3 linked regions of the Drosophila melanogaster genome follow. Changing the gene in region 2 together with the main gene of any one other region gives a genetic interaction. Each region holds a gene or a part of one and is shown on either strand. Other genes may lie near its edges.

Evidence for each region.
Region 1: of RhoGAP100F (region 2) and wrd, changing one suppresses a phenotype caused by changing the other (phenotypic suppression), as found in Drosophila melanogaster (one study listed by BioGRID).
Region 3: of RhoGAP100F (region 2) and Lar, changing one suppresses a phenotype caused by changing the other (phenotypic suppression), as found in Drosophila melanogaster (one study listed by BioGRID).

Annotation. Positions count from the first base shown.
Region 1 is NT_033777.3:18,170,902-18,178,890, reverse strand, and holds wrd (well-rounded), read right to left. Parts: upstream 6,048-7,989; 5' UTR 5,942-6,047; intron 5,766-5,941; 5' UTR 5,607-5,765; coding exon 4,701-5,606; intron 4,352-4,700; coding exon 3,847-4,351; intron 3,559-3,846; coding exon 3,362-3,558; intron 3,289-3,361; coding exon 2,954-3,288; intron 2,888-2,953; coding exon 2,657-2,887; intron 2,585-2,656; coding exon 2,192-2,584; intron 2,087-2,191; coding exon 1,843-2,086; coding exon of another isoform or gene 1,798-1,842; exon of another isoform or gene 1,650-1,797; intron 989-1,649; coding exon 845-988; 3' UTR 516-844; downstream 1-515.
Region 2 is NT_033777.3:31,811,078-31,815,655, reverse strand, and holds the start of RhoGAP100F (Rho GTPase activating protein at 100F), read right to left. Parts: upstream 3,048-4,578; 5' UTR 1,830-3,047; intron 1-1,829. Other genes in the region: FeCH (ferrochelatase), read left to right, coding at 3,446-3,482, 3,537-3,915, 4,178-4,279, 4,335-4,578. UniProt on the Drosophila melanogaster protein: GTPase activator for the Rho-type GTPases by converting them to an inactive GDP-bound state. Promotes the anchoring of Liprin-alpha clusters at synapses. Recruits and keeps Nrx-1 levels high in active zones in the presynapse opposite the postsynaptic region.
Region 3 is NT_033779.5:19,605,016-19,609,615, reverse strand, and holds the start of Lar (Leukocyte-antigen-related-like), read right to left. Parts: upstream 3,048-4,600; 5' UTR 2,535-3,047; intron 1-2,534. UniProt on the Drosophila melanogaster protein: Possible cell adhesion receptor. It possesses an intrinsic protein tyrosine phosphatase activity (PTPase). It controls motor axon guidance. In the developing eye, has a role in normal axonal targeting of the R7 photoreceptor, where it negatively regulates bdl.

The DNA of each region.
Region 1 (7,989 bases), about 14 Mb from region 2:
TGGGCGATTTGTTTCATATAAATATATTATGGGTATGCTGCTCTAACTGCTAGGCTAAATAGCGTACAATATTTGCAAATTTGAGTCGTGGAGTAGTAAACATGTTTTATATAGTATGTGTGTATAATAGTGGCATGTGGCATGAATGTCTGGATGTCATATAGCTATCTATGTATGCATGTGGCAGAAATCGGGGGATATATATGTACTCAATCAAGGTGGTAAACGCCTACGCCTTAAGTTAGACAATTCAAATTCAACTGTACAATTATATTCACGCGTTTACTGAAATGGTAAGAGCATAGTTGTGATACCAGATTATTGCACAATTAGATCTAATTGATAGGGCTATAGCTAAAGCAACGCTAGCAGCAACATGCATTGGGTAAAAGATATAAGAAATAAGAATATATATAAGAAGGTCATTCAGGGCTAAGCTTCACTGTGGCATGCGTTGGAGCAAAAGGGTAATCTTGAAATGCATATGCAAACGAAATTGGAGCTAGACAATCGATCTCGTTGGGGATTCTTGATCTTTATTGGTACTATGCATGATCACTAAAGATAGGTATTTTGTATGTGTATATATATATAGCAATTGGCTTGCATCCGTTGCCACGCCCCCACTCTAAGCCCCCAAATGCAAATGCATCGTTCAAAATTGTTTGTTCTCTAGTTGTGCGGATTCTATCCTTCATCTCTGGACTTGGACTTGTGCTTCTATATATGTATGCTTTCTGGCCTTAGTCTGGAGTGTGTAGGTCTATTTGGGTAAGTTCTGTGGTTTGACTATCCTCCTCATTGGAGCTACGAATATTGGTGGCGTCGGCTGGCCAGCTCTCTCCTAGTAGTTTCCATCCGGCGGCGGCGTTGTGAGGTACTCATCCGTCCGCTTGTGCTCGTTTAGCGCCTTCACGGTTCCACTGTCCGATGGCAGGTCCGATTTCCGGCGCAGCAGCGGCTTGTCCTTGTTCCGTTCGCCACGAATCTGTGTGGAACGGGAAGGGGGGTTTGGCAATAGAAAATGGACCCGCTTCTGACACTAAGGCATCGCAGCACACACACACACACACACTGGGCGGGTGAAGTTACACGGTGGTGCGGGATGATTGCGTTACGATATCGAGTGCTGTGGTGCTGGATGGAAACTCGATGACCACCAGTTGGACAACACACGACTACGATATATATATACATCTACACCCGAATGTCGAATTGTGTTACAAAGGTCTGAGATCGAGGAGTGTTGTATGGTTTCTGGTTCTGAGTTGTTAACAACATGATACATTTGACACTAGTTTTTAATAGTTATGTGCACAGATTTTACTCTAACTGGGATTCATGCTTAAAAATGGTGATTCACTTGAGGAAAATTATGTTAAGTGTTCAAATTAATAAATGAGAATCATATTGATGTTACAAAAGGAACGCGTTCTCTCATTAAAATGACCACAAATGAGTTAAAAGATGGACCAAAGTGTAATTAACATCTAAGTAAGATAAACTACATATTAATTCCGCCCAATTCGTATGCGGTTAACCAAAAGTGCAGGAGAAAAGTTGTTGTGTCGTGGATGAATTTGCATGGATGCGTTTGGTTTGGCAGACAGTGAGGTTACCAAATAATTAATAAATAAATAGACAAAGTTAAAGATATACAAATATGTATTTTTTTTTTTTTAAATGACATGAGTGTGATTATTTTAACAGACATTCGTTCGATTAGAATTAGAGTTGAAACAGAGTGGGCCTTAGCTGGGCACAGCTCACAGCGACGCCAGGATCACACGTGGCGGATTAGTAGTTGTTTAGTGTTGTTAATGTGGCAAGTGCCTGTCTCACCTCTCGGGGCTCCTGGTGCGCCTGTTTCTGTGGCGGCAGCGGAGGCGGCGGCTGGCGCGCCCTCTGCTCGCTCTGATCATACGCTGAATCGCTGTTCTCACTATATTGATCGCACAGGGCCCGGCTGTCGCTGACCGGCAGGCAGTCGTTAAACCGGCGCGCCTTTGTCCACTCCGGGTTGGTCTTGGCCAAGCTCTCCACCTGTTGCCAGAGCTCCTCCCTTTGCGACAGCTTCTCACGCTCCCTGCAATGCAAAAAAAAAAAAAAAACGCCAATGTTTAGTACAAAGTAATAAAACGTGAGTGCATCGTCCCATGGAAGTTAATTATCAACTAAAGTTAACACATACATCTGCTTCTCTTGCTTGTAGTTCTTGCTGCACTCGTCAAAAAGCCGCTGATCTATCTCCATGAACAGCTTGAGTGCATTGTAGATCAGACCATGGATGGTCTTGTTCCAGTGCGTCTTTGAGTTGCGATTGAGCGCTGGGAACATAATGGGTAATATCACCGCCGAGTTATCCGTTATCAGCGACATAATGTACTCGTTGTTCCAATAGTACAACGCACGTTCGGCCACCTGGAAATGAGGCGAAGAGACGCACTTGGCTATTTGGCGGAACAGCGGCACCATCACCTTCTGGAACTCGGCCGGCTCAATTACGTCCAACAGCTCCTCCAGCTCGTTCAAAAACATAACCTCCTTGGGACTGTGCGTCTTGGGCCAAAATTTAAGTAGGCTTCTGCAAGAATATTGAAATATGGCAGCGATAGGCTAATTAGAAAATGCGCAAAATAAGGAATTCTTTACTCACTTGATGACCGCCTCCGATAAGCTAGGATCCTTCTCCAGGAACTGCACCACACAATAGGTGAGCTGCGGATGGTAGACCGAGAGGCTCTTGGCTTTGTGCAATGGCAGCAATACCTTAAGTAAAAATTGTTTATGCTCCTCCTTAAGCGGCAGAGCAAAGCCATTGATAATGCTACCCAGGATTTCCAACAATTCGGCTATGCCATTATGATGCTCCGTTTCATAAATAAATCTAAATGTGGAATGCGATTAGTAATGTGAGGCATTAACCTTATAGATATTCCAATGACGAGCTCACCTGTAAAAGACATTGTTGATCTGCTTTCTAATAAATGCTCTCAAGCCCAAAAATTTTCCATAGATGCGATGTAAAACAGTCTTCAGGAAATCACGTTCACGTGGATCCTCCGAATCGAATAAATCCAATAGTTGTAATACAAATTGATGGTCGATAAAACGTTTTGCCATGCTTGGTTGAAAATCTGGTGACTCCAAGAAGCGCAAGAACAGCTCGTAAACGAGTTGCAGATGCGGCCACGAGGACTCCAACGTGGGCTCATCCTCCTCCGGATCGAATTCGGCACCATTCGGGTTGGACGATGGCGGCAGAGTTCGGAAAAGGTTGACAGCAAACTGATGAGAACAGATAAGTATGTTGTGGTAAAAGCATGTGATATTATTTTAAATATGTAAATTAGTAGCTTACCATATTGATCGCCTCCGGGTAAATAACTTCGGTTATTACGCCATTTTGGTTGGTGAGGAAATCGACCATTTCGTGCAGAGCCGCCCGCTTCACCTCCTTGAACTTGAGGTCGCTGAGCGGCTCGGAGAAGTCGAACAGTGTGCAGCATTGCTGGATCTTCTGTATGAACAGCTCCTCACGTTCACTGGCGGCGGTCTCTATGGAAATACAAATGAAATCATCATTAATTTTTTTAAATATATAATATAAGTGATAGATATATCAAACAAAATGTAAGCCATATAAAATTGACCTTAATATAAAATTAAAAAAAAAAAACCTACAACTACAAAAACGACCAACCAAAAGCAGGCAAGCGAAACTCAAAACGAACATAATGAAGATCGGAAGAAAGGATCAAGTAGCCGGAGGACCTCAGGCCCAAGGGCAATGGCTGGAATGGCTCCATCCATCGCCATTGGCCCGGATCCATTCGGGATAGCAACCTCGCAGTGCAGGCAGCGCCATGGCAACCGAAGCGGTGGGTGGCGTGTAGAATAGATTCCGGTCGCGAGCCCTTCCCGGACTGCCCGTCAGCTGTTGGAGCGTCTGGGGCGAGGGCTGAAGACCCGCCGGATGACCCGGCAGTATGTCACCGTTCTGCCGGATGCTTAGGCTCGATGTGGTCACCACCATGGTGGCGTTAGGTGTCACCATTACTGCTGATGACGCAGGTGCTGCGCCGCCATTGCGCTGGCCAATTCCCAATGAGATGCTAATGCCGCCCACCAGATTCTGGGCCACCGTCGGACGCATCTCCTCTGCGGGCACATCGCTGGTGGTGGGAACAGCGGCGACGGCGGTGGCGGCGGACGACGGCACAGCCGCCGCAGAGGATGGGGATGATGAGGAGGAGGTGGCCGCCGCTGCTGCCGCCGCCGCAGCACTAGTACCCACACTCTTGGTGGCATTCAGTATGTTCTTTATGGCCGCGGCCGCGCTCACAGGTGACTGGATGATGAGGAAGCGATGAAATGAGAGCAGAGTATGGTTTTGGTTTATCAAATTTCGGTTTGTTCAATTGGGATGGAGTTAGTGTTGGTGGATAGTGTGTGAGATGCTACTAAATGTATTAGCTTCTAGCGTACAATGTAAATAAAACTTTGATTAACAAGGTACTTGAATTGTTATTTTTTTCTTTGAAACTTAGTTATCGTTATCCAAAAAGCTAACACAATTAGTGAAAGTTTGGAAGAAAGTGTAAAATTTGTGGTTTGTACTTGGAGGTGGTGATGTGGTTATGTTTTGGGTTTTCAGATCGCTGGGTGTGTGTGTATGTGGACAAGACCAAGCTGCAAACCTTGCTGGCGGCGATGGAGCTGCTGGCTGCGTTGTTGGTGGCGGTGGATGAGGAGGAAGCTGACGAGGAGGACGCCGCCGAGGCAGAGGATGCCGCAGCGGCTGCCGCCGATGCTGCGGCGGATGTGGCCGCCGAGAAATGTTGTGCCAAAGTGGACACAAGTGAATTGCTGCCGCTAGCAGCGCCCGTTGACGTTGTTCCAGATCCAGATCCAGATCCTGCTCCTGCCGCGTTCTTCGACATGCCGGCATTCGAGGATAGCGAGAGCGAAGAAGTGGAGGACTGCGATCCAAATGGCGAGGAGGCAATCAGTGCAGCTGCAGCCGAATTCGCTCCACCACCGTATGTGGCGGCCGAGGATGAGGCCGAGGAGTTAGCAGCCGCCGAGGCTAGCGAGGATGAGGCCGCCTGTGAAAGCGAGGACAGGGCCGAGGCCGACGAATTGGAGCTGGTGGACGAGGACGATGGTGAGGAGGATGTGGTGGGTGCTCCGGATCCGGCTGCTCCTCCTGCTGCTGCCTCTGGCGGTGAGAGGGGCGTTTTCCGCCCCTCGAACTTGGCCTTTAGCTCCTCCACGCTGCTAAACCTGAATCGGCTGCCGGTCTGTTGCTGCTCCTGCTGCTGATCCTGCACCTGATCGTCCAACTCGTCGTCGGCCAGCTGATCTAGGCCGCTGTGAAACGATGGAGATTTGGGTATGCGTATGCCGAGGGCATAATACCCGGCTGCAATGGGCTGCGTTTCCTGCTCCTTGCTGGAGGATTTAATGGGCGCCGGTTTCTTTTGCTCTTGCTGCTGCTGTTGCGATTGCTGCTGCTGCTGCTGCGGCTCCTGCTGATGTTGCTGTTGCTGCTGTTTGGGACCTTTGAGCCCGTTGCCCGTCAGCAACATAGCACCGAAGACCATCTCATTAGTGCCGGCACTTGGAGCAAATGGCACTCGGTTTTAATCTTGATACGGAACGCTTGTTTTTTTTACCAGCCGCCCCCGCCGACCAACAACAACACATGAGAAAGACTACACTAGAAACTCAATTTGGGCACGCTAAGTATGAAACTATAGAATCTGTAATGGAATTGCAATATAGATAATGGTTTAGATTAACGCCAAATGCGATTATGCGCTGATGGTAACACAAAACGAAATGAAATGCAATTGGAAATGAAAATGGAAATGACAACGCCTCTGCTAAAATTCTTCTTTTGCCTCACAAATGGCCATAATTACGTGGAAAAACTTACGGTTCGAATGGGAACAAATGAGGGAATAGGATAGGAGAGCAATTAACTTGGGAAACGAATATTTTCAACTAATATTAAAGTTTTCGGGGCACACGACGTTCACGGTCTTGAAACGGTTTTTTTTTTGTTGCTTCGACTGCTGCGCCAATCGGAAAAATCGATATCGAGAGAGAATGAAATGGAGAGAAATTTGGTGAGCAGCAGACAGAGAGAAAATAAAGAGAGAGAAAGTGGGCTGGTGGGCGAGCGAGCCACAATAACAATAAAACCTAATAAAATAAAATAGTATTGAACAAGCGAAATTTGTTTATTCGATTTGTGAGTCGAAACCGCCCAAGCAATTAGCAGAAAGGTATGTGAATAACGCAATGCGATGACATTCATGCTGCACAGAAAAAAAAAGTGTAGCAATTTCATAATCATTACGCGCAGATATGTACATATATGATTTTCAAAAATATTGAATTTGCTTTTTTTTAAATTAATTCCCTGCAGGATACAGTTTTTCTAATTATTTGTATACACAAGTTTAAATCAATCGAATACATTTGTGTCATAAAGAAATGCCGGTGTATATATGAAATTTAAGACGGTCTGAGAAATCCTCTAACGATGCTTTCTCCCAGTGTAATGAGAGGCTGCGGAGAGAGCGCATGTGTTGAAATTCCGGTGAGTGAGAGAGGTGGAGAGAGGTGTGAATTGATGCGGCTGCTTGGTTCACATGTGTGAGTGGCCGTGCGTCAGTGTTGCCACCCACCTAATCAGACGACACTCCCTTGACCTTTAACTTTAACAAATAATAAACAAATTACAACAGCTGAGCGAAATTAATCAAGCGCCGGCCAATCAATATTCCCAACAAGCTTGCAGGTCGTAGGTACACTTTACAGAGAATGCCTCTTGTAAGTTAAAGCTGAACTTATAATCATGGAAATTTACCGGAGTTAATTGACATAATATATGTAATTATGCATCGTTAATGGGAATTACTACGATTTATACAATCTGTTTTGAGTGTATAGTTGCATAAAAACTTAATTGACGATGTTGGTAGACAGTAAGAAAGGTAATTTTATATCGCCTAAACGGAACCCTGCCCTAAAATGTATGCTACGACATGGCTACGACCAAGTTCTACCCCATGCAACCGATCTGCAGGCTTAAGAGATATCGATCTGAACAGCTGGCAGTACATGTATTATAAAGTAATATACTAAGTAGTAGGATCTACTCCAAGGCTACTCACTCTCGTTTAGCGGAATGAGGGCCGTCAGTTCGCAGTTCTTGGAGGCATTGTACCGGGCGCTGGTCTGGCGCTTCTCCTTGCGAACGATCGGGGTGCCGGTGATGTTCAGGACCTTGCTGATCGGCGTGGGCGGCGGTGCATCGTACGGTGGTGTGTTGTCCTTGAGTTTGTTAGCCTGCAAAGGGGCATAAATGACACTTATCTGATTATCTTTTCCCATGTCAACGGTTTGGCTTATGCTTAGTAAATGAAAATAATTTTAACAACGAATGCAAAGCAATATGCGGTCAAATAAAAAGCATACTCAAAACGTAGCACTTGCAAAATCAGAGCAAAGCAGTTCAGTTCGGGATGGTCCCTCGCTGCCATTTTGGCCGGCCATCGCTTTTACCTTGGACTGTGCGAATCCTTGACGCCTAAGTTGAGCTGCCTGTGGGTGTGTTTTAGTCTGAGTTTAGTAATGCCGAACATTGAAATGTGCTCTGGGATCAGGAAGCTGGAGTTCCGTAGGCTCTCCATACACGTATAGGATTATATTGCTGGCATCTACCAGGGAATCAGGTGGTGGCATATATGTATATATTTTCCAGGCACTAACATTTATGTATTTTTTAAAGCATTTCATTGGGCAATTTTTTGGCAGTTTCAAAAAGCAAAGTGCTCGCCTTATACTTTATGTTTTATTGCAAATGTTCAATATTTTTGTCGTTGGAGAGACAAAAATGTAAAAAATTTTCATTAAAAGTTCTTCTAGTTAATAACAGGCATGTGAGTATAAAGATTTGTATAATCAACTCCGTCT
Region 2 (4,578 bases):
CAAATATTACGAAATTGTCATAAATAGTGAAAACCGAATTTAATAAGATATCGATATGAATTTTAAACTTTAAAATTATTTTTACTTGAGGCAGTGCTACAATGACGACAGGCAGATTTATCGATTTCCCTCTTTGGGCTCAGTTGTAACCCCATCATGGCATTATTTGGTTTGGTATGGTTATTGCTGCGTTGAAGTTTATCCACAACGCCACATCCCCATGAGTCCCTTTTCCACACTTTGACTGGTTAGTAGCACCCGACAAAGGAATATACATCGAAAGAAGAAACACAGACCCACCACTGGGGACCGTCGGACCCTAACCCGCAAACCCACCATCCCACCCACACCCACTGGGCTTTGCCGCACGCTCATGCGACTGCACACCCACTGAGGCAAAAAAAGGATACTCTTTCTTTTAGAAGTTATATTTATCGGCTCAGCTTATAATTGTAACGCGAAAAGGCCCCACAACTGACTCGCAGCTCTTGACAACCGATATTACGATCATTTACTTTTCAGATCGGATCCCATTATCTGCATGGTAAAACCCCAATTTTCAGTGCAGTCGCTTCGCGCCATGTGGTCCTTTCTGCCGGTGCTCAGCTGACTCACCTGACGACTGTGCAACATGCCACCAGCAACCCGCAACTAGAAACTCGCAACTCCGAATTTGGAGCTCCCAACTCGCCATTTGGACGACGGATAGAAGTCGCATTAAAATGCCAAAAATATGCTCGAAACCATAAAAACTAGCAAAGTTGCGGGGAAACTGTGAATTTATCTAATTAGTGAGGGCAGAATCAAAAAGATGGAATTATGGCTGCACAGAATGGAAGTCGCCATCCACATGTTGTATTACAGCTCGGCTTATACCACACACATAAGGACCAAACAAAATAATATGCAATTTTAAAAATAACTTTCTGTTTAAAGATTTTCTATATGTGAACAATACTGCCTTAAAATAAGTTAATAAATAACAACGTAAATTAATACAACAAAAAGTACCAAGCGATTTTAATGGTCTCTATGGAAATCCATTTTTGGCTACCGTAAGAGGCTTGCTATCATTTTTTTTATACAAGGGGCTTTAGTTCTAACATAAAATTAAGATAGTTGTGCGGCTCAGCTTTTTTAAATTATTTGTATGGTATGGGGCTCCACACAAAGTTCTCTGTTTGCTGGTAAATTGGAGCAAAGCTTTTAGCTTGGGGGTAGTTTGGCGGACTGAAGGGGCGATTCGGGGTGTAAAAAGTTATGGGGGCTTTGAGCATAAAAAGCGTCCAAACAAGATTTTTGATTGTTAATGTCGCGGTAAATGTTTTGCTTTCTGTTCCTCTCACCTAGTCGTATATATCCTAGATCTTCATCTCTTGTGTGTAATAGAGGAGATCTTGAAATAATTTGCTGCTGGAATAGACACCGCTTATATTACATTTGCTCGAATTGATTTGACGATATGCCATGTTTTCTTACGATTAAATTGGAACCTCCACCTCCAATGACTACAATGAATGATGATAGCCTATCAGAAGACGTTTCCTTTTCTTTCAAAAGGTTTTTAGTAAAAGGCAAAATAACGCTAACCAACAAAGCATTAGAAGTTCTGGAAACAGGATTTGTTTTAACAGAAAATTGCGCATAATCACACTTGCCACAAATGATCGCTTATTCGAGTTGTGGGAGCCTTATCAAGCACAGCCGAATTTGATAGCGACAAGGTCATTTCCTATGATGGACTTTTCACCCTTCAAATAGTTTTTTAATTAACTAAATGCATAGCCGCCAGTGAGTTTCCTGGATAGGTCCCTTTGTTGAAAACTCACCTGCACTGTGGAACTGCGTTTCTCCTGACGTCCTAATGCTTGACGTTTTGCGTCTAATCCGTGCCAACGGCTACTGCCCAAGTTATGAAAACGTGAGATCACAAATTGCAAGGGACAACTGGGGTCGGGTTGAAGAGGGGCGGAGGTATGGGAGTGGGCTAGTTGCAGTCACCGGTCGTAAATGTGTGCCGCGTTGTGAAAAGGATGCACTTGCTCTCTATGGTAGCTCTCTCTTGCTCTCTCTTTTTCTCTAAAAATGTCTATCTCTTTCGCTCGCTAGCGTTACCTTTTATTTCGGCTTTGATTGGTTTTAATTTCCGCTGAAGCTGCTTTTACTTCCGGGGCAGTAAGAATGCGAATGCAAAATGCAATTGGCTAGGTGCAGGTTTTTGTTGTTAGAGACTTATCGCTGATTCGGTGGTCAATGGCTTGGGATTTTGAGAAGCAGTACATCCTTGCAGCCTCTCTTTGCTCCTTTCTGCACCGTCTTTCGTTGCCTTTCGTTTCGTTTCACACTTTCGTCGCATTCACGGCATCCCATGCAACTTTTTTGCTGCGGCATTTTTTGCGTAACTTGTGAGATAATTTCAACATGTTTTTGGTTCCCGGAAAAGGTGCAATTTATTTTTTGGCCTTTTCATTGATCTGTGCGCGAGAGTGCTTGCGGGCGCGGTGTGTGGGCTCGCGGCAGGCGGGTGTGAGAGTGTGTGGGTGGTGCGGGGAACCCGTAGCGGAATGCGTCCGTGTGGCAGCGCGAAGCTTTCGCAACTATGCGAATTTCCTGAGTAGGAATTTCAGTATAATAAAATATCCTGTTCCTCTTCTAAGTCGAGAAAGAGAGCAAGAGAGCGCTAGTTATTCTGCGCGTGCGCCACGAATTGGAGCACTTTAATGCTGGTGGCGATAACACGGACATGGACACATCACCAATACTCGCGCACGTACACCCACCACCGCGGTGGAACTCCTTCCCTCTCACTCACTCCAAAACTTCCTACGTTTTTTTCACTGTGCTGCGCCGCTTGTCCTTTTGCTTTTCTCCGATGTTAAACGACACTTTCGGTTGTTTTTCAAGCTTTCTTATCTTTTCGGACCATGGGCCGCGCCTTTTATTGCGTTTTTACGAAGCAATTGTGCCTGCATTCGGTGGAAAAACTACAAAATATTATTTGATCGGAGGAAACGAAACACTCGCAGCAAGCGACGAGAGCGAAATGCAGCGTGCAAGAGCGAGACTGCACCACAGTCAGCTTTTACCGTTGCACGCAGCGTTGATGACAAGGGAAAGAAATAAGGACGCATGCGCGAAAAATTTCTGTTGGTCGCTTGAAGAACAGTATATACCAAATATTGGTTTCGGTTTCAATAAAGAGAAATTAAATGGTAAATGTGTAACAAAAGGAAAAATTTTTAAATATTTAGATTACTGTTGAGTAATAGTTGGCAGCTATTTTACACACATAGATGGCGTGACGGTTACTTTTTACAGAACTCTGTTACGTTTGGAAAAACTCTAGAATCTGTGAGATCATACATTTTGGTATTTAAACTATTTTAGCAACTGGTAACACTATTCGACACCGGTGCCATCAATTTGGGTCAATTTAAAAGGAACTATGTTTTTGCATAACACAAAGTTTTGCAGACTGGCAAGTGAGTATACGAGTGGATACAGTTCCCACGACATTCCTACATATTCCCCAACAGGTGGTCTGGCAGGAGGAGTGCGCAACCTGAGCGGCCAAAAACCGAAGACCGCGATCCTAATGCTGAACATGGGCGGTCCGACCCACACGGACCAGGTGCATGACTACCTCCTGCGTATTATGACCGACCGGGACATGATCCAGCTGCCGGTGCAGAGCCGTCTTGGTCCGTGGATCGCCCAGCGCAGGACGCCCGAGGTACAGAAGAAGTACAAGGAGATCGGCGGTGGTTCACCGATTCTTAAGTGGACCGAGCTGCAGGGCCAGCTCATGTGCGAGCAGTTGGACAGAATCTCCCCGGAGACAGCACCTCACAAGCACTACGTCGGTTTCCGCTACGTGAATCCCCTCACTGAGAACACGCTGGCCGAGATCGAAAAGTGAGTGTAGTCGAGAAGTAGAACAAGAGTGATGTAAATAATCCGAAGGTCGTGAAATTGACCTATATATATTGCTACGGACTCTCACAATAAGATATGTTCTAGTAAATAAGTTTGTATAGACTTCTGACTTCTTATGCATGTTTCAATGTCCTGCTATTATCAGTTGACTTCTTGGACAAATTACTGAAACCTAAACCTGGAAATTATGGTCATTTGCGCTACTTAAAGAATACATGTTAATATTTTAACATATTTACAGGGACAAACCAGAGCGCGTTGTACTCTTTTCACAATATCCACAGTACAGCTGCGCCACCTCCGGATCCAGCTTTAACTCCATATTTACTCATTATCGGAGCAAGTGAGTTAGAAATGCACAATTGCAGCTATTTATTTGATCCCCTCTACCTCTTTAGTAATCTGCCCTCGGATATCAAATGGAGCATTATCGACAGGTGGGGCACTCATCCACTTCTAATCAAAACGTTTGCCCAGCGAATTCGCGACGAGCTGGCCAAATTTGTGGAAACGAAACGAAATGATGTGGTCATCCTCTTCACTGCCCACTCCCTTCCCCTTAAGGCTGTGAACCGGGGTGACGCGTATCCCTCGGAGATTGGTGCTAGCGTACACATGGTGATGCAGGAACTTGGTCAGACG
Region 3 (4,600 bases), on a different chromosome or scaffold from region 2:
AATCACGAGAATCACGACTGCAGGTAGGTCCGTGGCATATGTACGTATGCATGTTTTTGCGTCCATCTCCGTATATATATATATATATGTATGTATGTATGTATATGTATGCACTTGTAAAAATCAATTAAACTTTTCAAGTGAAGTTATAATGGCTGGCAACCCTTTCGAGCACTCACACTCATTTTTCTGCTTGATTTTTTGCGGACTTTCGACTTTCCCCTACATACATACATACACATATATTGTTTTTGTTGCCTCTGGCTGTTCAGTCAGTTTCTTATTGTTTTCATAGCCTTGCAACGCCTTGTTGTTGCAGTTGTCAAAAGTTTTAAAATAATTGGATTTTTTTCGGTCTCCATGTGCGAACGAGTGAGTGAGTGAGAGCACTGTGAGCACAGAACACGAACATCGGAATGTCGACGACTGCAGCCGAAAAAAAGGAGAGAGAGAGGTGGTGGAAAATGGAGGTATTGCCGCCCCCAAACTCATTCTATATAAATTAAAATTTCTTTGTTGCAAACCCCTTCGCGTTCACACACACACACACACCGACATCCAGACACAGGAGGGTACTTAATGCAGGATTGCTGCAGTCATCCAACCAACGCCATCATCACGAGTATTACCCAATTTCCAGCTGAAGTTTTCAACACCAAATTGTAAACGTCAACAACAAGCGGCGAAAAAGAAGAGTGGGCGTGGCCGATCAGCCGCCTTTATATAGCCAACGATGGCATGACGAACGAATGGTAAAACGCTGTTTGAACAGTGAGAATGGAAGGTGGGGGGGGGGGGGGTGCCCATTGAAGTACTAGTCCTTTTGCTTTGGCTCCAACTGAGGCCCATAGGGCTAATGGGAGTGGGGATAGTTCGAGTCGCTGTGAAATGCAAAGAGCAAATTAAGCCCCCTCTCATTTATCAATATCAATCCATCCATCTATATATATATATATATCTAGCTACTGTTTTCATTCAATAGGAGCAACCACATGTTAATATAATAAACAAGTTACATAGTAATTTCAACTTGGTCAGCACCTAATTAACCCCAAGCCCTGCGAACGATGTATCAAGCGATATAATTTCAATTAGGCTAATGTAAGCCATAGAATAGCCTATAGTTTTTAACAACCATATCCTACGATTTTCGATTCTGTTTCTGCCAAAGAAAGTAGCCCTTACCACTTGTGAAGCCTACTTTGGGTATTCGTTATACATGGCGTATGCGTATTATTTTACACTGGCGCAGAAAAAACGTTTTTGTTTCAAACCTCATTTCAAGTTTGGATCGAAAAAGGAATGAAAGGAAAAATTTTTACTTCGCCCCTTCGTCGGCAATTTTTCTCCTTTCTGCTTCTGCTTCTAATAAAAACACTTGACACCAAAAACGAGGAAAGTTCCTTGAGGCAAGTGGTGAAAGACATTTTAGGTTGAGTTGTGTTGTACGAGTTTCTACAACGAAAATATTAAATACTTGTCAAAACACTTGGAAAGGCTTTTTTTCAGAATATTTACTTTTATAAGTTTTATTGAGAATTTACTCAAAAATAATATTTTATACTAGAGAATTGAGCAGAAGGCTCTGAATAAGGAACTCGCTTGAAAATATTGAATAGCAGATAATGTCAATTGAAAAATGCTTCATTTTGAGAACAGCTTTAAGCATTAGTAAACATTTTGGCTTTAAAACAACCTATATATATAGAATCTTATTTAGCTTTGCAAGGCCAGGCCAAACTTAAATTTTCTTGAGCTCTTGCCAAGAACTTCCCATTACTTGCCGAGGACATAACTATGTCAATCTGCAGACCCACACTCACACAGGACACACACTGCAGTCCTTTTTTCGCCTTAGCTGAAAATCACTTCGCAGCTGGTCCTAAAACGATTTTAGGCCGCTCCAATCACAAACACACACTCTCGGCACACCCGAATCGGAAGGCAGCGAAAACATCAGCCACAACAATCCTTGCAGGACGCAGCGTTATTTTCGCACCAAACTGCAGGAAACCCCGCCAGGACCTCAATCGAAAAAGAACTGTGAAAAATTGCCAACCGTTTCGCTTTGAGGCCAAAAGGAGCGGGCCGAAAAAAGAGCTGCTCGCTCGTAAAACTGCAAATGAAAATAGATAAAAAGTATCTGTCGTCCCAACCAGTAAACTTCATTTTGTAAATCAATTGAATTTTCAATTGTGTGCGAGCAAACTAAACCAAACCAAACCAAACCACGACGAAACGACGGAGCACAAAAAGAAAAAGTAGGTAAACATAAAAGGACAAATAAAGGAAACGACACTATTACGGAAGAAAGGATGGGGAGACCGAAGGAATCCCCTTCTCCCCGGGGCAATCGTTTCAATCTCCATCTCGAGCAGCGGCACAGGATTGCCGTTTCTTATTAGCAGGGCCAGGACGATAAGGATAAAGTCCATATATATATCGATATTCATAAGGAAATTCCAGGTCACACGCACACACCACACACCAGGCTTCTGATAATTTTCAGAGTTTGTTTTCTCTTTAGATTTTACCGATTTATCCGCCAGGTATTATCGGCTACGTCAGTTGTTCTTCGGTAATTATGTTTCGCGGAAGTTCCTCGCCTGCAACTCGGATGGTGTAATTATGGGAATAATTTTTTAACCGGCTTGCGGCAAAACACGTTCACAAAAACAAGTGCACACATATGTACGAGTACAGCGGCAACAACGAGTTAATGGAGAAAGGGTTGAAGGGGGTTGAACCGAGGCAAGCCGAGGAGTTCGACGATTTGGTTTTTGGTTAACTTGGCTAAAATCACTTTGCCGGATTTTCGAAATGCTGCGGCTCTTTGCTATTGCATTATAACCGAGTACGATCTGTGGTTATGTTATATCACTCGAAATTGGATTCAAACGATTCGTTGGATTTTTTGCGAATTTTGTGTAATATACAATTTGCTGTCGCGCTGCTTGTTGCCCGATTATCGCACACACACGGCTGAGAAGGACGCGCTCTGTTTCTTACACGCTCGTTACATCCTGCCAAATCCCGAAATTGTACTAAATACGTACAAAACTTTTACGATTGGCTAAGGCTGCTAGCAGCAATGCTCGTGTTTTCCTCGCGTTCAGTGTGTGCGTTTGTGAGTCGCCACTCGACCCGAAGAGTCCTTCAGCGTGCCCGAGGATGCGCCGACCGAGCGCCGAGTGTGGTGGATTTTTCCGGAGAGCGGAAAAGCCGAGAAATTCGCCAGCCGAAGCTGCGAGCGATGGAAGAGAAACACCAAAGGATGGCTACTCAAAAGGAACTCACTTTGTACTCAGAACTCAATCGAATAGACAAACCATTCTGGGAAATGTTAAGAGCACACAAATCGGAGTGATTCTAAATAGCATTCAAAAATCACTCAGTTTAAAATGTTATGGAACAGTTGAGTGCAAGGAATATTTGATAAAATAACATAAAATAAATTTGAAAAAAATGTAAAATAAACTGAGAGGAATTACGAAACATCATTTTTAGCATGAGTTTCAAAAAATATTTTATATTTAATATAAAATTGGGATTTTCTTTAGCATTATAAAAATTATTATTTAATTCTTATAAATGTATGGGAATGGTAAATCCAGTTTACACTGCTCGCTCGATTCGAGCTAATTTATTTAACATTGAGATAATCACTGAGTGCTTTTATAGCAAAACCAGCAATGTTTCTCTTAGAGTGAAGTGCTTGCTGGGTAATAACATTTATAGCTCAACTAAAAAGGACTCGAATTGCAGACGCAAAGAGTACAGGCTTATATGAGAAATGTAAACGCATTTTAAATGCTCAAAGGCAACAAAACAGACTCACTCAATTTCGAGATTCGAGACCTGCGAGGCTTAGAACATGAAACCAAAGAGAAGCAAATCTGCGATTAAGGCAACTCAATCCTTCTCAGCAAGGACTTGCTCGAAGAGAGCCTGGTGAGATGGCTAAACGAGCTTTCGACGTGGGTGAATCGGAAAGGTTCGGCTTTTAGGCGCCGAGCCCGTCGACGAAGGTGAAAAGCGAATCGCGTCCACGAAAAGCCCGCCATTGACTTTGACCGTCGTTCGCCAGTCGTCAGTTTCAACTGGAGCGGCGGGCAGTAAGCTGAAATCGGCTGAAAGGACGAGCTGGCAGGATATTTCGCAGAAGGGCGAACCAGCGCAGTGCCGAGCAGGAAAAGGCGAGAAACGGCCTGTGCTAATTTTCCTGGCTAGCTAGATTTTTGGCGCGCTCCAGATTTAATCCTGCAGTCTAAGTGAATGTGAAATGTAACAAGCCAAGTGACAGTTACCAAAAGTCAGAAGACAAAAGGAAGGGAGGAAAGCTAAAAGGCAGAAAGCCACCGAACAGATGGAAACAACTCGCAGATGCTGATGTTCCTGCCCCAGGAGACATTTAACATAATAAAAACGAACGTGTGCGGCATTTTGTGTTGCCTTTTGGCCAAGTTAACTCCTGTTCCTGCATCTGTGTGTGTGTGTGTGTGTGTTCGTTACATGCTAATATCACAGACACTCGCCCGCGCACAACCCACACAAACTTACAAACAAACAATATTGCAAATGTGTGCGTGAGGCAGTTGGC